Linked DNA regions of Drosophila melanogaster. The gene in region 3 interacts genetically with the main gene of each other region. Each region holds a gene or a part of one and is shown on either strand. Other genes may lie near its edges.

Region 1 (5,053 bases), on a different chromosome or scaffold from region 3:
GATGTAGCCCGAAAAACATTCAAATCCCGGAAGCAAGTTGCCAGCGAAATAATTTTGGCGAAATGCTAATCAGCTGGCTTTACAGACCACTGTTAACGGAACGGAACGTTTTGCAGCACTGACCAAGCAGTGGCTGTAATATTTTGAGTTTATTAAGGATTTAAAGCAAAACTTACATTTTAAATTATAAAGCAAAAGTTAATATAAGCAGATTGTACAATATTATGTAGTAACAGTAGCACATGGTATAATTTTTATAAGTTAAAGGAGCAATTTATCTTCATACTTTGCAACACTTTTTGGCGCCTAATTCAAACTATAATTAAAACTCATAAAAATACTTTTCAAACAGAATATACAAATAAACTAATTTTGGGGCTCAGCATTATTTCAGAACATATGAAGAAAGGCTTAGGTTTTCCGCATCGTAACCACTTCGTTTATTGTGACCTTGGATATTGTTCGACTTAATCTCTATCGACGTGTTTCTAATGTTTGTCATCCATATTAAATAAATATTTGTCATGTATAAAATATTTAATCTTTATTCGTAGCTTATATTAGCAAACAAACAATAAAAGGGAATTTACACAGAGATCTTAAACAACTAAAAATAATATTATCGCAATGGACTACCGTTCACATATACTTCACCATTGACTTTTATAATTTAAAAGTATACAATACGCGGCCAATACCAAGAAACCCGCTGAGGAGGAGCCGCTAAACAATGCTATCTTGGATATTGGATATAAACGCTGGAAATATAACACTTTTGGGTGCATTAGCTCAGCTGCGCTCAGTTTGCAGAGTTATGTTGGAGTCCGAATTGGAATAGTTATGCTCCAGTCGCGGGCGAAACTCATCCTCGCCATCTGAATAGGACCCCACCGAACGGCAAATGCTGCAAGAATATTACAATATATTATTATTAAATTTTATCCGGTAGTTTTTGTTTTTGGCTCTAAATATATGTATATATAGATTACCGTTGAGTTGACGCATAGCCTTCGATTGCCAGTGCCTCACTCACACCCGGCGGCAACAGCTGCTGGAGCAGTGCATCCTTGACCGCATTGACGCCAGTCGGCAGTGGCACATGATTCATGTCGACCGAAGAGTGCGATTGCGACAGGTGCGGCGCCGTCAACCCATTTGCCAAGCGTGCTTCTCCACAGCCAGCTCCAACTGCAGTTCCATCCCGTTCGTCGACCTCATCCCTTTGCGTTCGTTCGATGTAGCGAAGAGTGCTGAATAGCTCCAGCAGATTGCCAAAAGTGTTTCGCAGATCGCACTGGCCCGTGATGTCGAAGCACAGCTGCGAAACATTCTGGCGCAAAAGGTAGATGGCATACTTTGTTTGCTGCGACGGCAAAATGGAGCGTGTATACAGAGGAAATCTAAGATGGAACAATAAGATACCAAAAGGTAATATTTAGTCTGTGTGCTTACTCTCTTGTTGTGTACGTCAACTCTTTGATATCGTCCACTATCCTTGCTTTCGATGGCTCGTACAGAATACGGTTCCTCAGAGGTCGATCCATAATGATGGCTAACATCTGCACCAAATGGGCAACATAACCCAGTGCCGCACTCACTGCCAGCGGCGAGACGTTATCCAGAAGCTGTGCGTTTGCCGCCTGACGTGACTCGCTCGTGTATTGCTCCATGTGGGGGAAGGCGATGCCGCAGATACTAAATTGCCGACCGCCCACATTCTGGATGTTATAGATCTCCTGTAGCTCCAACACCAGTGTGGACATTCGGCGCTCCACCTTAAAAGGGTGAAAAGGTTTATTAATATACTTGTTTAATGTTATTTGATTCCGCAGCCCCACCTGCCGTTCTATTTGTCTTTTTTGATCGCGCTGTTCCAGATGTTGAGGTGCCAGGGTTCGTAGCTCCAGACGTTCTTTTTCCAGTCGATGTCGCTGGCTGTGGAGCTCCCATTGCTGTGCCTCCCGCTGTTCTCTCATCTCCTTCAGAAGTTGACGGGTGCGCTCGTTTCGTTGGCGAAACGTTTCCCGCTCCGCTTTAAGTAGCCGCTGTTGACTGCTTAGCGCTTCTATCCTTCTAGTTAGCTGCTGGGCATTATAAAGCGTGAGGGGCGCGATCTGCTGCTGCTCGGCGAGCAACACGCTCAGGGCGCGGCCCATGGAATGGTACTGATGGGCGGAGTAGTCGCCGGACAGCGATGTCGTGCGGGGCTTCAAGCGCAGCTCGTTCCTGGTCACACAGTGTACACTGAGGCGGGCTATTTCTCGGCAAACCTCGGCCATTTGACGCCGCTTCTGCTGATGCAAGCGTTGCAGACGTTGCAACGTGAGAAGCTTTTCGAGGTTGTTGCTTCGCCGAATCTCCTGCCGTTGGCACTTCAGCTGTGCATAGCGCATCGTACTCATTCGCAGCACGGGACTCGAACTACGACTAACGGCCGGCGAGTTTATGCCCTCATCCTGCGGCTCTTCTAGTTTCTCTTCCTCCGCATACTTTTGGTAGTGCAAATGCAGCTGCGACTGCAAGGCCTGCTCGCTTATCATCGACGGGGAGGCAAATTGCTCGCCATTCAATTGAAAGACCAAGCAATTTCGTCCGCACTGGGACAATGTGAGGGGAGACAGAGGTATAAGGCCGGAGAAGTAGACGCCCCAGCTGAACAGTAGTTCAGGAGGGCGTGGCAGCCTGCTGGGCGTTAACTGGGATCTTCTGGAAGTAAGTTGGTTGATGATAGCAGAGTTCTATTTGCAAGCAAAGTCTCCTATTTACCCGAAAACATCCTTATGTCTTTGCTCAACCTCAGGCGGTTGGCCATCTCTTCTTTCCGCCGAATAGTGCTTCCACACCTTGACACAGACACACTGCGCATTGGTTTTCCGCCAGGCCTCGTCGTCCGTACAAATCTCCGCCCACTTTTGCTGTTGGTGACGCTGCGGCAGCTTTTCGCTGGTGTAGAACGCTTCGCTAGCCTTGTCCGTGTGTAGTGTGTAGTAGAGGAGCACATCATCCGGATCATCTAGCTCCAGCGACTTCTCATGCGGCCAGGACTCAATATTGAATCCCTGAATTCTGTTAAGGTTCCGCAGTCGAAGTTGCTGGGTGGCTAGGGGCAGCCACTTGCGGCATCGCGGCCGTAGATTCATCGTAAAACGCCTTTCCGGGTGAGCTGCGGATTACGCGGAGCCCGTAGCCCAGATCATTGTACACTAAGACTACGTTTGTTATAGTTTTTCCACAGAAACTTTTAACAAAAAAAATGATTACCCGAACAGCTGTTTTTAGATGCATAAGTGCTGCAAAACACTGAAGGCAATAGTGGTGGGAAATGCGCCGTTCAACTTGTATTTTATTAATTTGGCTATTTTCATTTTATTAATTTACACATTATTTAATTTAAGAATAAATGAAAATTTTATCAATTTGAATTGATTAATAAAAATATAAAAAATATTTCGTTAATTACAAAACACGGGAAAAAATAAATTATTATTATATAGCTTTTTGCAATTTTTAGCTAAAATTGCAGCACAACTAAAGAATCTTTCAATGAGAATCTAGTGTTGAGAAGCGCGAAAAATGCCTTGTTCTGCTAGTTTATTTTGCTTTGTCCGCGGATAAGGAAACTTGCTGCGAGGACTACATTCCAAAGTTGACTTTATTATGAGCCAGAACGATGATCAGCTACATTAGAGATGCAATCATGTCACCGACAACACGCAGCAGCTCGAATAACAAGAAAAGCAGCCAGCCAACAGGCGAAGTTCTCAAGGATGTGAGCTCATCCGAATCCAGGGGAACAGCAGGTGCTCCAATGCGTGGCTACAAGGTTACTGACAACGAGCGAACGAGGAAATACGGAATCGGAGCCAATTCCCTGGAAATGCTGATAGCCAAGGCAAAAAGCAAGTTCCCGGTAAGAAAAAAAAAACAGGAAAAACTCCTGCGTAAAAGCGCGAAATATACACCCACCCACGTAGATGGGCTGAAAGTTCCTGGCTCTGGTAATTTTCAAGGCCATGTCCCTGGCAGTGGCTTCCGCGTTTGTTTGGCTCTCTTTCAATGCCACTAGTAAATGCCAATGCGCATGTCCTGTATAGTAGAGCTAACCACCTGTTGATGGAACGTCCTTGCCTGGCAAAAAAAAAAAAAGAGAAATGTGAAACAAACTGAAGGCCCCTGAACCAGGAATTGGGCGACCTGGCCTCGTTATAATTCGGCCATGTCAAGGGCATTACAATTAAATCGTTTTTTTTTTACCTTTTAGCTTCTCGAGCCACATTTGTATTTGGCTTCTGATGGCTTCGAGGTGTCCGACGATGAGTACTTAAAAAGCCTACCCGCCCAGACGCTGTTCATAGTGTCTGGCCCGGATGCAGTCATTACAACAGGTGAGCTGCAGTTTAAATATTTAACTTAATCACAATTAATCTGTCTTCTATTAGATGCCGATTTTGAGTTTGAGAAGATGCGACAACAATCGCCTTTGCTAAAGGTGGCTGACATTTTCTACGATTTTATCGAACAGCATCCGGAAAAGTTCCGCCGCATGATAACGGAGTATGAACACCAAAAGCAGCGACGCGTCCTGGATAACAGCAAGACCCACCTCAGCTTAAAGGCCGAGCACGTGGAGTGGTTCACGGGCGGCGAGGAGCGCTTCCACTCTAAGGAGGAAGCTATGGCCACACGTGCCCAGACACGTGTGCGAGGCTACTACTATAAGGCCAAGGAGGAGCTGACCCGCAATCCCTTGTACCGCCAAAATGCCAAGGCCCGACAAGTGATAAACTCTGTGCTGGAGAAGTTTCGATACCTGCTCATCGGTTGCGACTTTTTCTCCATGATGTTTGACCGGAATTGCAAGCAAAAGCATGAATTCCTGAAGCAGCACTTGGGCGACGAGGAAACAGACGCTGGCAGGATACCCAGCAAGAGACTGAGGCAGGTGATTAGGGAGTACACCAAGGAAAACTGCATCCTCGACGAATGGTCCACTTCCTTGTGCTCCGACTTGGGTGACTTCTATTGCCAGGGCTCCTATTCGGAGAATGGCAAC
Region 2 (3,314 bases), on a different chromosome or scaffold from region 3:
TGTGGCGGTGTGCGCCAGCCACGTGGATTGTGCGAGTCTTCAAGTACTGATCCTTGGACTAGGACAATTTCATCCTCTCAGGCGTGACTGCCTATTTCCGGGCTATTTACGCGCCATTAACAATTCCCGGCCGAATTGTAGCTCGTTAGGGAACCAATCATGAAAATATTCGCTGTTGTTTCCTGTCAGGTGCTTAACTCTATGTTGGTTACGAATTTTGAGTGAGTCATGTCCACGCTCCAAAAGTAATTGAATATAAATAATAAATTGGGTAACTTTTTTGTGAAATTATTATTTCTATCGCTAGTACCATTATTAAGCCTGAGGCCAAAACAGCTAAGCTAAAAAATAATAATAATAATATAAAAATACATAAATTAAAAACGAATATCATAACATATATATAGTCAAAGCAATGCTTCAAAATGCAGATTGTTTAAAAACCTTTTTGGCTCTGATGCTGGTATGAGAACGAGAACTCGTTGTAATTACCCTACATGACGATCTGAATATATTTACGAGTAAGTGATTTCAGTAAAAAACATTTGGAATTAAATTTATCAATATGTTTTTATTTTGGCTTAAAAGTAGTTAGTTTAGTGTCTTCCATGCTTATAACAAACTTATAACTATGAAAAAAATATGTCTTCCATTGCGTTAAAATATAATAAAAAAAAATATGGGGTAACTTAGAGGCTAATGTGAAATTTGAGACTTGGTTTTACACTCACTAAGGCAACAATTTAGGGTATTTACAGTTTGTACAATATTTGTTTGTTTGGGACTTTTAGTAAGACCCCTTCACTGCTCTTGCCAAGATGAAATATAATCGAGTAGCTCCTCGTCATCTGGCTGCTCGTCACTGAAGCTATCAAAGGAGTCGAATTTGAGGTCCTGCTCTTGTAGTTCCTGTTTGATATAGCCACCTCCGGAAATCTCGGATCCGGAGTACGACGGCGTGGGCGAGGCGGAGTGGTACGAGTGGGATTGGGCAGACTGGGTGGCTCCCGTCAAGAACTGTTGCGAACTGTCCAAACTATCGTTGTAATCGTTATAGCTGCTGCCATCGTTGCTACTTTCATCGGCGGAATTGTAGATGTGACGAGTTGATGAAGCAGTGCCATCATCAAGCATGTCCTGTAGTCCTCGAATATATTCAACGGCGATTCGCAGTGTGTCCACCTTGGATAACTTCTTGCTGCTACCACGTCCTCCATTGGACAGCGAGTTTACCACAGTTTGAGGCAAATGCTGGCGGAGATTGACGAATCCATTGTTCACCTGCTTCACGCGATTGCGTTCACGGGCATTTCGTCTGGCTACCGATGGCAATTGCTCGCCATAGGGCATGTTATTGTAGTTGAACTTCTTCTTCTGGGAGGACAACATGGGTCCAACATTGGACTGTTGACTCTGCTGCATATTCTGCAGTTGGCTGGTACCCAAAGGTATTTTCGGAGCAATCAACTGGTGCTGCTGCGTTTGATGGTGATGCTGATGTTGCAGCAAGAAAATGTTACTGTTGGTCAGCTGGTAATGCTGCTGCTGGAATTTGCTGCTGCAAATGCTCGTCATGGTAATCCTTGCGAGAGTTTTCTAAGATTTAGTTTACAGATGTTGACTGTGTGGAATCAGATTCCGCAATGATAATTGCTGTTCTGATCTAGGGCTTTAAATACCCGGCAGTGGCAGAGGGAAACGCGCCGCGACAGAGGCAGCGACTTCGGCAGAGGAGCTACAGGGGTTGGTACGGGGTCGGATCCTGGCTACCTGCCCTCGAAAAACCGGGACCTAAGTCCTTTGCACAAGTGATCGTACATTTTTCCTCTCTTTCTAGGGGTTCTTTTTCTGTGGTGGGTGCCTCTATTCCTACTCAGTCTCTGTGTGCCTACCTACCCATCCTTTTCCCTCTCCCACACACTCTTTGTCCTTTGTGTCCGTCTACATAATGCATTTTTTCCTTTTGGGAAAATTTTAAATCTCAGATCTGCAAGATCCTTGTCATGGCTAAAAAAAAAGATTTTGAATGCACTTCCACTTTTGTCGAATGTCGTTTGCATTGAAAGCGAAAAATAAAGGAGAGTGAGATCTTGGAAGGGAATTTGATATAAAATGTGATCCATCAAATGAAAGAAAATGATGCGAAGGCAAAAGAAACAAACTTAAAAGACCATGTCGTGGGACTTTCACTGTCTTTAAAACTGCGTATCCACTTTTATATCCTGTAATGTTATGAACCTTCATTAATATTTTTTCTGACCCATCTGCATTTGACACGTGCTTCCGATCAGTCCGGTGCATTAGCATAAGCTTCAAAACAATGATACATAACATCGCAGAGCGGCGCAGACAAAATCCCACAAGTGTGTGCTGTATCATGAATACCAAGCGTACTATAATAAGTAAGGGGACGGCCAGACAAATAAAAACGAAACCATCACAAAGGCATTGAATATTGACAGCAGTTGGGATCAAAGTTGCAGTCGAAACACTCTTACCCTTTCATCAAACGCTTGTGATACAAGAAAGCGATCTAAATTTGGGCTGTGCACTCGACAAAAAATGTAATATTTCTGACTGGTTAATATATGTCTTGTATGAACAAACAAAAACTGAATTCAATTAATTTGCATAACTCATTAAATCGTATTAAGGCTACGATGCAATTTAAAATATTTTTTTGGGAAAATATTTTGATAGTGTTGCATTATTGAATAAATATTTTCTTTTAAAGATAATTATTTCGTGGAATACTTCTAAAAATCGAATGGCAGTTTTGATTTTAAAGCATGAAGCATTTGTGTTGCTTTAATATCAAGACATCACTCATAATCAGGTTTAGTTCTAAATTATCAAATTAGTATGTCGAAAAGCATTAAAAAAGGTCTTTAAATGTTATTTGACTAGCAAATTAGTATTTCAAAAAGCTTTAAAAAATGTTATGTCTTTATTTATTTGCTGCTTGCTGTAGGGTTGTGACTTATTATGCCCAGTCCAAGAAAGTAAAGTTATTCCGTTTACCAACAATCCCCCTGCAATTAAATTAAGCATTCATAAATCTGTAAGGAGCTGAATCTGAAACAAATTTCTGGATTCGCAACTTGCAACTTTGTTGCAATGGGAAGGCAATACCGTTACCGAAGACGGATAAGTCGAGTTACGAGATTGCTCCCATAAATGCATAAAATCTTAAAAAAAGCCATAAGCAGCTGCCCTAAAGGAGATCAGAAAATTAGAGGAAATTGATCCCACAAGAATGAACGCTGAAAATCATAATAAAGCAAAAAAAAAAAAAAAAAAAAAACACCATTTAC
Region 3 (4,925 bases):
AACGAGATGGGGCGGGGGAATGAGGGGGAACAACAACAGAGCAAGACACGCCACGCGGTCGCCAAGGAACTGCAACTGCAACAATGATGAAGACATCAAGCTGTAAAAAGCATCAGCGAAGCAGCGAGAAAACTTGAGGCGGTCCACACAGAAAAACTGAGTTTTCCTCAAAATGTTTACTGCACTTCCATCTTTGAAATATGTTACTAACCCTAAGGATAAACTATCGTAAAGTTCGCAAGTTTAACTAGGAAATCAATTCTGTCTGGAAATCAATTCTTACTTTTGCCATGTAAGCGTTATTATTTGTAAACGGTTGTTTCTTTTTCAGTGTAGCACAGTTTGGAAGTCACTGCGCGAGCAGAGTCAGCAACAACAAAGCGCGTGCGTCAGTAAAATTTTTTCCTTGGCTCTTTTCTTTTTTTCCGCTTTTTGGGCCACCCGCATTCAATGGCCCGATCCCAACCCGAAAAACGATCACTGGCTGCTTCATTTGCATGGGTGGGAATAACAGCAGCAAACTGAAATGCTTTTGGCAACGAAAATGGATATAAGACTGCATGCTGCTCTTTTTAGAGTTCACAACTATATTGGAAATATTACCTTCTGAACTATACCTTCAAGATCAATAAAAAAAAATCTATATAAATAGTAATGAAAATATGTGCGCCCTTCATTTATTGACATTTAATTAGACTAAACGCTTGCTAATCAATCTCATAGTGCAGAGCCAAAAAGCAAATTGTTTCGAAATTATATAGATTACTCATTACGTCACGCATGCTTCTAATCAATCTGCGAAGAATTCCCAACCGAAGTCGCCCCACAACTCGTATCACAGAGCATCTGAGGAGCGTTGACTGGGGCGGTGGGGCATTGGGGCGATGGAGGGGTGGGGCGGCTCCGAAAAGAGCGGCTGGAAGGGGGTGGCCAATGGCAGTCCAGCCAGCAGCATCACGTACGAAATGACTCTCGCGGAGACCTCGGCGCCCACCCATGTTGGAAGGCAACACACAACCACACACACAGATACGAACCCACACCAGCAGAATGCTGGGCAAGTTGTTGCTGGCGTTGTTTATTATTTTTGCTGCGGCTGCCAAAGCTTTCTGCTTTTTGCCTTTTCGGCTGCTTTCGACTGCTGGACGGAACTCCTGCTGCTGCTGCTGCCCAGTTTTTGCCTAGCTGTTTTTGGCGCTCGCCGCAGTTGCAGTTGCAGTTGTTATTGTTCGGTTTGCGGTTTCGGACCAGCCGCGCACAGTAGCGCCAAAGTAATGAAGTTGTCTGTGGATATGTCCGTCTGGAGTTGGATCGGTCGGTTTGGGATCGGCGAAACGAGTACGAAAGTCCTGCTGTGTGTCTACGTCTGCGCAGCGAAAATAGATGTGGATTGATGGCGGTGCACAGAGAATAAATACTAACAAGATTGGTAAAACATCCAATTTGTTGTAGTTTTAGACTGCAGCGAAAGGGTTATTCCGTCTACTTTTACGGCGAATAGTTTCATAAACAAATGTCTATATTTGGAGGTAAATCCTCCACGCTTTTTATGTCCAGAGAACGAAATAGCAAAATTAGCATATAAGCCGATTGGCGTGGATTTCAACTAATCACTGTAATTAATAGGCTGCCTGGCAAGCGAACATCAGACAACTATATTAACCAGGGAATCGAACGAAAGAAAACGAAACGAATGAAATGAAATCGAAACGACCGGCGAAGAAGACATCGGCGACGAAAAAAACGCGAAAAATATTGCGAGAGATATTGGCAATAAAATTTATTGAAATCTGTCCCGGCGACTTAATGGCCGCATTAAACAAAAGCCGCTGCTCTTCGGATTTACAGTCGAACTTCTACATCATGGTTTTTAGTTAAGTGTCTCAATATTCTAATGACAAGAATTGTACAATATAACAATTTCAAATTTTAAAAAGATTGTAAATTTACTTAATACTTCAAATCTTTTGCTTAATTTAAAGTAAAAGGGATTACTAACAAAAGTTTCGAAAGAGCCAGATTTTCCATTTAAACTTATAAAGGATCCTCCGAATACGATTCAAGAATATTATTGAATTCAACACATGGCTATCCTTCACAGTGAAAGTTCACTGTAGTTGGGCACTCACCTTATCTATCTGATCGAGCGCCACTTGGGCGTCCACCCAGCTGGTGCGTATGTAAAGATCCGAGAATAATTTCTCATCGACCACATCGCCGTGTGTGTCCGGAACGCGTGGGAGGCTGTCGCGGTCCATTATGGTTATGTTTATAGCCAGATTCCGGACGGAATCGCGTGGCGGAGATGTGCAGATGGGAGTGTGCTGCGGAATCGGTCTTTCTACAGTGCCTGCCGTTCGTCTGCGTCCTGAGAACTGAGACTTGGGAGACAGTGTGCGGATTGTTCGTGGACTTTCGGTTCGATTAATTGTTATTGGAATCTCGTATTTTGTTTGGCTGCATTTTGCACTGCATTCCGCATTTTTATTTTTAATTATTTTGTATTTTAAATCAAGAGACGCTCTCTCCCGCGCTCTCTCGCTCACTCACTGAGCACGCTGTGTATCTGAGCTCTCGTTGTGTTGTTTTGTTGTGATTGCTGGCTTCGCTTTTGCTGGGTTTTTTCGACGATTAAAACGCGGTTTTCGGGTTTTATCTTGGGCACAATTTCTCAGGGGAATTTGACAGAATTTTCACAGATCTTTTACACATGGAAAAGCGGCAGTCGGACGACTCACGTATTCGGTTTTCTCTCTCGCCTTTCGCTCTTTTACCTTTACTTTACTTTGCACTTGGCGACGCACACACACAAACACTGGCTGGTTGGCTGGCTTTTGTTGTTGCCTGGCATTTAATCCATGAACTTCGCCTCGCATCCGTGAGGTACAATATCTTAGCTTTTCCACGAGTTCTGTGATATCTATCTTGTTAGTATACCACACACAGAGAGTGCCAGTAGTCGGAAATACGAATAACAAGTCGTCGCGCTCCGCACTTACAACCGTTTCGTTCGAGGATCGCACGCAGTCTGAGAGATGTATCTGTATCTCGTGGATGCGGCACGCCAGCCAGGCCAACAACTTCATTAGGCGAGCGCGCGCCGCTGTTTCTCTCTCTCACTCTCTCTTGCCCAGCGGGCGTCTGTGTGCACTGTTTTGCGCCTGTGTGCGTGGGCGACACTCAACACACAACACAGACGCTCTCCCTACTCTCACTCGCTCTCTTGTTTCGTGTGCGGCCATTTTGGTTTGAGAACGCTCTCTGCGAGGGCTGCTTTAACGATAGCTCAACGCACAAAATACCGAGGGGTGATTCAGGAGTTTTTCCGAGAAAATACCAAGTTTGTTATATAAAATTTATGAATGCTTGTTGCAAAATAAAGAATAACTACCAATGTAAATACATATGTTAACAGAAATTAAGAAATAAAATATATATCTATTACTGTTTAAATATCCTTTGTAAATATTTAAGTGATAATAATAATGATAATGTAATTGTTGAGCATACGGACTTAATGCTTGGAACTCATTGTTTACATTTATACTTTTTATAAACAAATAAAATATGTAGCTCTAATATACCCAAATAGCTCCGCCACGAGAGCGCTAATTTCTATTGTTATTCGCATGCCGTAATTTGTTTTTTTTTTGCATGGACCACCCAAAGTGCCTTGGCTGCTGGTTTGTTGTTGCCACTGTAGTTTATTTTCGCTGCAGTGTGGACCACCCAAAAATAAATTTGTTTCTGCCTTCATTAAACTGAAACCGCCAAGCGATGTGGGTGGTCCCCTACCCAAACGTTCAGCTCTGCCGATGTCGGCCTTCAGCGTCGGCAGCGCTGCCCAATGGAGCTTTCGTCTCAGTGTGTGTGTGTGTATTTGTTTGGGGGAAGCGCGTGCGTGGCAGGCTGCGCATGCATGTGTGTGTGTGTAGCCGTGCCGCGAACTGTTGGCAAATTTGTTAGCTTTACATTGCTCGTGTTGTTGGTTTTATGGCTGTTGCTGCTGCCCCATGCGATGATGTCTGTTTTTGCATGTTCCGATGCTAAATTATGAGCGGCAGGATGTTTCTGCTTTTCCCTTTCCATTGTTTTTGCAGCCTCTTTGCCCCATGAATCTCAAATATGCGAGGGGTTATGAGTGTGCGAGGACCACACAAGTAGGTTTGTTTTTGCCGGCAAATTAAAACACAGAACAAATTATATGTTTATTAGACGTAGTCTTTAAATATTTACTCTAAAATCGACTTATAAAAGAATTTTTTTTTTTTATTTAAAAAAAAAAAATAGACTAAACAAGTTTTTTTTTAATTTCTGAATAATAATATACCAATGGAATAAACTCATTTTCATGCGACAACCGCAAACCGATCTTTTTTGTGCACCACGAACTTAAGCCAAATGACATGTTATCTTTAAAACTTCTTTGGATTTATGAATGGAAATGCATTTGCTTCTGGTGTTTCTCCGCATTCCACATTTTCCCTTTCCAATTGAGGCAACAACAACGAAGTAAACAAATAAGAACTCTTCGAAAAAATTGGCGCTCGAATCATCAGCACCATGGAAATTCAAATTGAATGCAACTGCATAGTCATCGTGCTCCCCTCGTGCCCCTTCGCTCCCGCTCTCTCTTTCGGGGAGAAAGAGTGGGAGAGGGAGATGTGAATGTGGACCCACCACCAAGCGAGCTATTACAATCAAAAAACAACAACTCTCTCTCTAACTCGCTCACCTGAACTAACGTTGCAGCACATTCATTTGTTGTTCTCTCTCTTCAAGCTAATCGTTCCCTCATCGCCCTTTCCATTACTCCCACCTCCGCCCGCTCACTCTGCGTGTGGCGCATTTTGGCGACATGGGCGGCATTTTTTCTCCAACATGCATATTTTAGCTTTATTTCGCTCTCCCCAGATTGCGCCATC
Region 4 (6,359 bases), 2.9 Mb from region 3:
CTCATCCCGCCCCCTCCCACAATTTTGCATTGCATTTCGCGTTTGCATTTATTTTCAGCAAATTAACGCCGCTCGCCGCGAGATCTGTGCCAATAAATCATTTGATGACTGCTCCCTGCCGCTTTAGTTTTGCATTTTTTTTTTTCTTTCTGTTTGTTGGGCTTCTGTCTCGTCACAGATATTTGTTTATACTACGCGCGGATTTGGCTTTAATTAAACGGAATGGAATCGAAGAGCAAGAGCTGCCGTTACTCGTCGACGGCCTCCGATTTTGGTTCGGAATGTGATTGTGCAATTAGCGGCACCCTCGCCCGACGACAAGTGTTCGTGATTTAATGTTCTATAGCCTTTGATGTGACAGATGAAAAAGCGTAGAGAAGATAATGGCGCCCTACACAAAGTACAAATAAGGCCACCGATTAGACCGCATGTCCTCCGATATATGGGTGGCATATTTTCCTTTAATGTAGCAGACTTCCAATTCCCAGAGGAAACCAATTGCATTTTAATTTTTTTCCATAATTCTTTTATTTTGTTTTTAATTTTCTTTTCATGAACTTGCTTTAGCACAAACATTTCGTTGTTATTTTCTTAGGTGCATTTGCCAGCTATTAGTTGCTCGTTAACATTTCGCTTAGAAACTAAAATACTCTTTCATAGCAATCCTTAAGTGTGTAAACTAGGAATTAAGCTAGGGAACTGTTAAGTTACTTAATTTACAGAGCGGTTGCAAGCGCGTAATTTATAGGGAGTAATAACTATAGATAGTGTTTTGTGTAGGAATAAACGTCTGAAGGTCGAAGCTTTTGAAGTGCGGCGATAGCGATAGGCTTTGTGTCGGGTGATTACGATAATACTTTCGGCTATCCAGGGGTGGTTAAATAAATACGCCAACAACTTACAGCTCGAATTCGCTACGGATGGGTCTTACTCTAGGTTAGGATTATACGTATATATATATATATTTTTAGAGATATATACAAAAACATATGTACGCTACAATTATATCACATGAAAACCATTTGTACGCCCTCGAATATTGCACGCCCCCGTCAGAAGGAGTAACCCCTTATGGGTAACCATTGGTCAGCGCTTAGGGGATCTGCCCGTTCATGCGCATCTCGAGCTCCTCCTCCTCCTTGGTCAGCGGCACGGTGGTGTGGTTGTACAATCCCTGGGCCATCAGCTGCAGTGCCAGCGGATTTTTGGAGCCCGTCGACTTCTTGATCTTGGCCCGCTTGTTCTGGAACCAGATCTTGATCTGCGCCTCGTTCAGGCCCAACTCGCTGCTCAGCTGCTGGCGTCTCCGCTCGGTCAGATAGCGATTCTCGTTGAACTCCCGCTGTAAGTGGAAGAAATGGAATGCTGGATGAGTTTCGGATGGCAAGGATATCCATGTTGTATAGTCAGGTAGGGAAAATCAATTATTTGCGGTTTCGGCCGAGCGTGGCTGATTGGTTAAGTACGGACGGGACACCACATTGCCAGGATGCATTAGCAGCGGGCGGTGTCAATATTTTGGTGCAAATATGACACAACAAGCGTAGGGCAATTGGATATGGATATGGATGGATATTGGTATAACCATATAACCATATATGGAAAAAAGAACTGAATCTCACCTTAAGGCGGGCCAACTGCTCGCTGGAGAACGCGGTGCGTGGACGCTTCTCGTCGTTGGTCTTGTCCTTTGGCTGTTTGGGGCGGCGGTAGCGGGGTCCTGGAATAAACAAAAACACGAGAAATACGTTAGTTCTATTTGCATAAATGCGCCACATACTATTAATAATATTAATGATTCAATTAGCATATGTCTGGGCGGAATTCCTCGGCCGGAGCTGGAGCTCCCTTTCGCGTGCTGGCGGGGAAGTGTTCAATTTGTCAGCTGTCAGCGCAAGAGAAGAGTAGAACTCCGGCGAGTTAACGAACCCAAAGGTCTACGGCATATTTTAGGCAAATGATTTGCCAGCTAGCCAACTCTCTAATTAGCGACTAAGTCCAAGTCACCGGCTAATTGGCAACGCGGCACCGCAGCAATCCGTAGTGCTTATTAGATTTCCACACATTGTAAATTATAATTTAATTGACCGCCAGTAAGTGGAGATCGTTTGATTAATTCCTAGCCGCGGAGTGGGGCCATCAACGCCTCGCTTATGGGCTGCCATCGATTGCATCGACACCAAATTAAAAAACCATTGCCGACCATAAAAAAGCACTTAACTCGTCAATTAACACACGATCTAAGAAGAGCTGCAAGGAAAATCTCCGCTTGTCAATGGAAAACTCTTCTCCTTTCGAAGGGGCTTCCCCCGCCATCATATCTCCCCCGCACCTACTTTTCCCCTGTCAATCGTCAGCGCGTTTTAGGGTCTCGGCTTCTGCGTGGCGTGTGTGCGTGAGCGGTGACCTTCGACCTGAGGATCTAACAGTTCCGATAGACAAGCGCTGGCTCTGCGCTACATGTTGTCACATAAAGTGTCGCTCTTCAAAAGCAGCGCAGCACTGCGTGAGGCCCAAAATCGGATTCGGATTCGGATACGAAATGGGAATGGGAATGGGCATGGTTATAGAAATGGGAGTCAGATTCGGGCTCATTGCCATTGTCCGCGTGTCGCCTAATTGTGGCAGTGTCCTTCGGATTTATGACACAAAACAGAGCTGCTTGAAAGGCTGCCGCCAACATAACGCTCCCCAAGGGTGGTCCCCATGTAACCATATACCATTTACCATTTTCACATCTTTTTTTTTTTAACGAACCTTTGGGACTTCCTTGTTTTGACAACACTGAAGATGGTGCCCGACGAACCCTCTTTCTGACCCACTTAAACGCTAGGTAATCGCATAGATACTAACCTGAGCTGGGACGATCGCTGTAGCGGGTGCAGTACACCCAGGCGGGCCACATCTCGTTCTTGCCGCCCTCTGTGGTGGTGGATCCCGTCTCGGAACGCGTGTCATCCGAGGACTCCATTCCGGAATCTCGGCTAACGGCGGATGGCGGCGGGATTGGCTGCGGCTGGGGACTGCTGGCATTGACTCCGGATCCACTGGCTCCCAGTCGGCTACTGGGCGAGGAGTTCAAGGAACTGGCCGCCGAGGAGCAACCCGACGAGGAGGAGCTCGAGCTGGTGGCCACGGAAGAGGTGCTGCTAATGGTCGAGGCATTGGAGGCGGGTGGCGGACTGGCCAAGCTGCTGGCACTGCTACTCAGCGGAGGTTGGGTCATCGTAGGGGCAGCAGGTTGTCCGATCTGCGAGACCGCCTTGCACAGGGATCCCAGAGCAGATTTCTCTGGATTGGCATCGCTCATCTTGGAGCTCATGGGCGGCGGGATGACGGCATTGGCTGCACTCCTGCGCAGCCGACTCTGCACGATTTCCTCGTGTATCCTGGGATAGGCAGCCGGATTGAAGCAGTTAAGGAAGTTGGCCCGTTCCAGCATCATGGCCGCAGTAGCGGCTGCGGCGGCAGCCTGCTGTTGCCGGCTAAACTCCAGCAGATCCACTCTTGTAAAGGCGGAGGGCGTGGCAGTCTGGGAACGACTCGCCTCGAAGGGGCGGAATATGCTGGCCTGGTTCTCCATCGACTTGCCCGGCTTCTGGACATCTCCGAAACGATCGCTCAGGATGTTGGAGATGGAAAAGGCCAGCGAGGGCTTGGCCGTCGACTGCTGCTGGTGGGCGGGTGGTGGCAGGCGTCCGCCCGCCGACGTATCATCCACATCCACATCAATGTCGTCATCCTCCTCCGCCTCCTCCTCCTCGTTGGTGGTGTGCGTCTGATTGTGGAAACTCATGTCACCGATCACGGAGTCGCTTTCCTCCTCCTTGATGGTCAGCGGCGTGGACGAGGCGGGCGTGGAGCAGGATGCGGGCGATCCACTGCCACTGAGGCGCTGCTGCAGTGCAGCAGCATGAGCGTGGGCGGCCGCAGCAGCAGCTGCAGCAGCGGCGGCTGCAGCGGCATCGAAGGCCATTGCCGGATGGTGGAAGACACCGGCGGCCAGTTGCTGTTGGTGCAACTGCTGCAGTTGCTGCAGCTGGTGGAGGTGCTGCATTTGCTGCTGCTGTTGCTGCTGCTGCTGTTGCTGGTGGTGAAGATGCTGCATTTGTAGGGTAATGGGGCTGGGCGCTGACTGTGGACTGCAGCGATCCTCCAGGGCCATTGGTTTCGACTTGGTGCTAAATCGCAACTCGCTTAAGACACTTGTCACTGGGTCACTTGACACTGAGCCACTGATTCTTCTGATTGCTCAGAATCTTCTGATTCTCTTCTCTGTTTGGTGTTTTTTGTTTGGCTTATGCTTTCGTGTTTGATTTGCAACTGTTGTTCCGACACGCACGTCTGTTCACATCGAGCGCAACGACTGAATTAGTTGACTACTTCGGAATCGCAGCGCCGACGTCGGGGAGAGTTAACGCGAGAGCCGATTGAACTGTCACGGTGGAAAGAGAGGTCCGAGTGCGGGAGCGAGAGGGCGAGATCCCACAAGTAGCTGGCGAAGTGTGTGCGAGCGAGCGAGTGAGTGAGTGACAGCAGTTGGTGACAGTGACATGAAGAGATGAGAGTAGAAGATGTGTCTTTTCGGCCTTACACTGATCGATTTTCGCTCTCTCTTAGCCTTGTCACCTGCCCCATGCGAACCGGTTTCGCCGGCTCACTCACTCCTATTAGCTGGCCAGAGCGCTCTCTCGCTCGCTCCCTCTCGCTCTCACTCTCTCTTGCCAATTTGGCGAGGGGGGCTTGTTAGGCAGCAATATGACTTTATTATGCGCATGCTGGAGCTGTCAGCCGGTTGACAACTGTGTCCCCAGCGAACTGCGCAGGCGCAAGCTCTCCCTCTCTCACGGGGCGTTACCGAGTGGGGGTCATATAGCGGCACTGTTCACTCCCTCTGCGAGTAGGCCAGGAAAATGGCTGCCTTTCCATGAGGGGGAGAGCCACATGCCATCTCTTTCCACAGACACTTTTCATAAGCATTTAGTTTTTGTTGATTTTGTTTTCGGCCGCGACGTTTCAATCTGCGTTTTCTACAGCCTACAACTTTATCGACACCACCTTTAGGCCATGTGTAGAGGGGGAATCGAAAGAGAGGAAAAAAACCGCAAAGCTAATTGTTTTAATTTAAATGAAGGGAAACTTTTTATCACCCCCACTCCCACCACCAGTATCATTTGCGATTTTTCACAAAAATACGCTAAATACACGATGACAATTTATTTTTGAGGCCTTCAATTAACCAGTTAAATGTGCCTTGAAAAACAGCTGACGAAATTGATTGATATTTAATTGACATTTAATTTATTTATTTGCCCATCGAATATCGATTTGCCAGACGAGCGAATGAAAAACCATCGCTAACTGTCAAAATAAACCTTAGAAGGTGTTAAAAACGAACGCCATTTGGCATTGGACATTAACAATAACGCTTTTTTGTGGGGCTCTAATCAACCGACGATCTACAAATGTGAAACATGTGCTGCAAATAGTGTATAGATGTGGGATTCCGAACATATAACCACTGATATATAGCTCATAAATCAACGAATCTGTTCGATGTGAATAAAACCGAAATCAAATAACGAAATCGCTAATGAATTGCCTTATAGCTAGCAGATTTTGTTGTGTTAATTTTTGCATAATAAAAGCGATCGTTGCCATGTGGGCTACTGATTTATGGGGCAAAGGATTTAATTAGAGAGTAATCTCGCCACCACTCACACTCCCACATTTCCTGTTGCCAATTGTGACATAAGCAATTCGCGCCAACAAACTAACGCCCAAACAATAAGCCATAATCCATATTTAGAGCAAATTTCGTGGTTAACCTGTTCCACAATCAATGGGCCGAAATTTATTCAATTTTTATGCGCATTTTTATAAGTATCAAATGGACTTGAATCGAATATAAATTAATAAATATATTTGAACAGCTCAGATGCATAAATTGAAATTCCGTTGAGTGGTCTTAACCGTTTCGATTCGATCTTAACCGGTTCGAACGCACCTTCCAGTCTGCGGTCAGCCATTAAAAGTCGAAGTTGGAAAAACTGGAAACTGGAACGGAGCCAAATCTATTTCCCCTTTTGAATTTCGAACTTCGAATAGATAGTTGTCTCACTCGCTCTCGCACTGTGCGCTTCTCGCTCACTCTGCCCTGCTCTCTCACGCATGACAACAATGGCTGCTGCCTCTCTCTCGCACACCCCCTTTGACCATCTTCCTCTTACACATTCCGCTGTTGCCGTCGGCAGCTGTTGATTTTCCGCTCAACTTCCACCCTTCCACACCGTTCCATTCCCCTACACACTTTCCGCTTTGATTGCCATGATTTTCAATTATTACCGTTGTCGTGTTTG

The links.
Region 1: of ptc (region 3) and Uvrag, changing one enhances a phenotype caused by changing the other (phenotypic enhancement), as found in Drosophila melanogaster (one study listed by BioGRID).
Region 2: of ptc (region 3) and l(1)sc, changing one enhances a phenotype caused by changing the other (phenotypic enhancement), as found in Drosophila melanogaster (one study listed by BioGRID).
Region 4: of ptc (region 3) and en, changing one suppresses a phenotype caused by changing the other (phenotypic suppression), as found in Drosophila melanogaster (one study listed by BioGRID).

Annotation. Positions count from the first base shown.
Region 1 is NT_033779.5:13,285,027-13,290,079, reverse strand, and holds Uvrag (UV-resistance associated gene), read right to left. Parts: upstream 3,304-5,053; 5' UTR 3,141-3,303; coding exon 2,767-3,140; intron 2,707-2,766; coding exon 1,839-2,706; intron 1,779-1,838; exon of another isoform or gene 1,776-1,778; coding exon 1,453-1,775; intron 1,429-1,452; exon of another isoform or gene 1,401-1,428; coding exon 990-1,400; intron 905-989; coding exon 790-904; 3' UTR 524-789; downstream 1-523. Other genes in the region: Drep4 (DNA fragmentation factor-related protein 4), read left to right, coding at 3,671-3,910, 4,262-4,385, 4,440-5,053. UniProt on the Drosophila melanogaster protein: Involved in biosynthetic vesicle transport to lysosomes. Acts as a cell growth regulator. Also has a crucial role in controlling organ rotation by regulating membrane-localized Notch receptor endocytosis and subsequent degradation.
Region 2 is NC_004354.4:408,057-411,370, reverse strand, and holds l(1)sc (lethal of scute), read right to left. Parts: upstream 1,651-3,314; 5' UTR 1,576-1,650; coding exon 802-1,575; 3' UTR 554-801; downstream 1-553. UniProt on the Drosophila melanogaster protein: AS-C proteins are involved in the determination of the neuronal precursors in the peripheral nervous system and the central nervous system.
Region 3 is NT_033778.4:8,647,755-8,652,679, reverse strand, and holds the start of ptc (patched), read right to left. Parts: upstream 3,032-4,925; 5' UTR 2,259-3,031; coding exon 2,130-2,258; intron 1,984-2,129; exon of another isoform or gene 1,627-1,983; intron 1,430-1,626; exon of another isoform or gene 1,184-1,429; intron 1-1,183. UniProt on the Drosophila melanogaster protein: Segmentation polarity protein. Acts as a receptor for the hedgehog protein (hh). Associates with the smoothened protein (SMO) to transduce the hedgehog signal leading to the activation of wingless, decapentaplegic and patched itself.
Region 4 is NT_033778.4:11,523,506-11,529,864, forward strand, and holds en (engrailed), read right to left. Parts: upstream 4,706-6,359; 5' UTR 4,166-4,705; coding exon 2,854-4,165; intron 1,721-2,853; coding exon 1,623-1,720; intron 1,343-1,622; coding exon 1,094-1,342; 3' UTR 501-1,093; downstream 1-500. UniProt on the Drosophila melanogaster protein: This protein specifies the body segmentation pattern. It is required for the development of the central nervous system. Transcriptional regulator that represses activated promoters. Wg signaling operates by inactivating the SGG repression of EN autoactivation.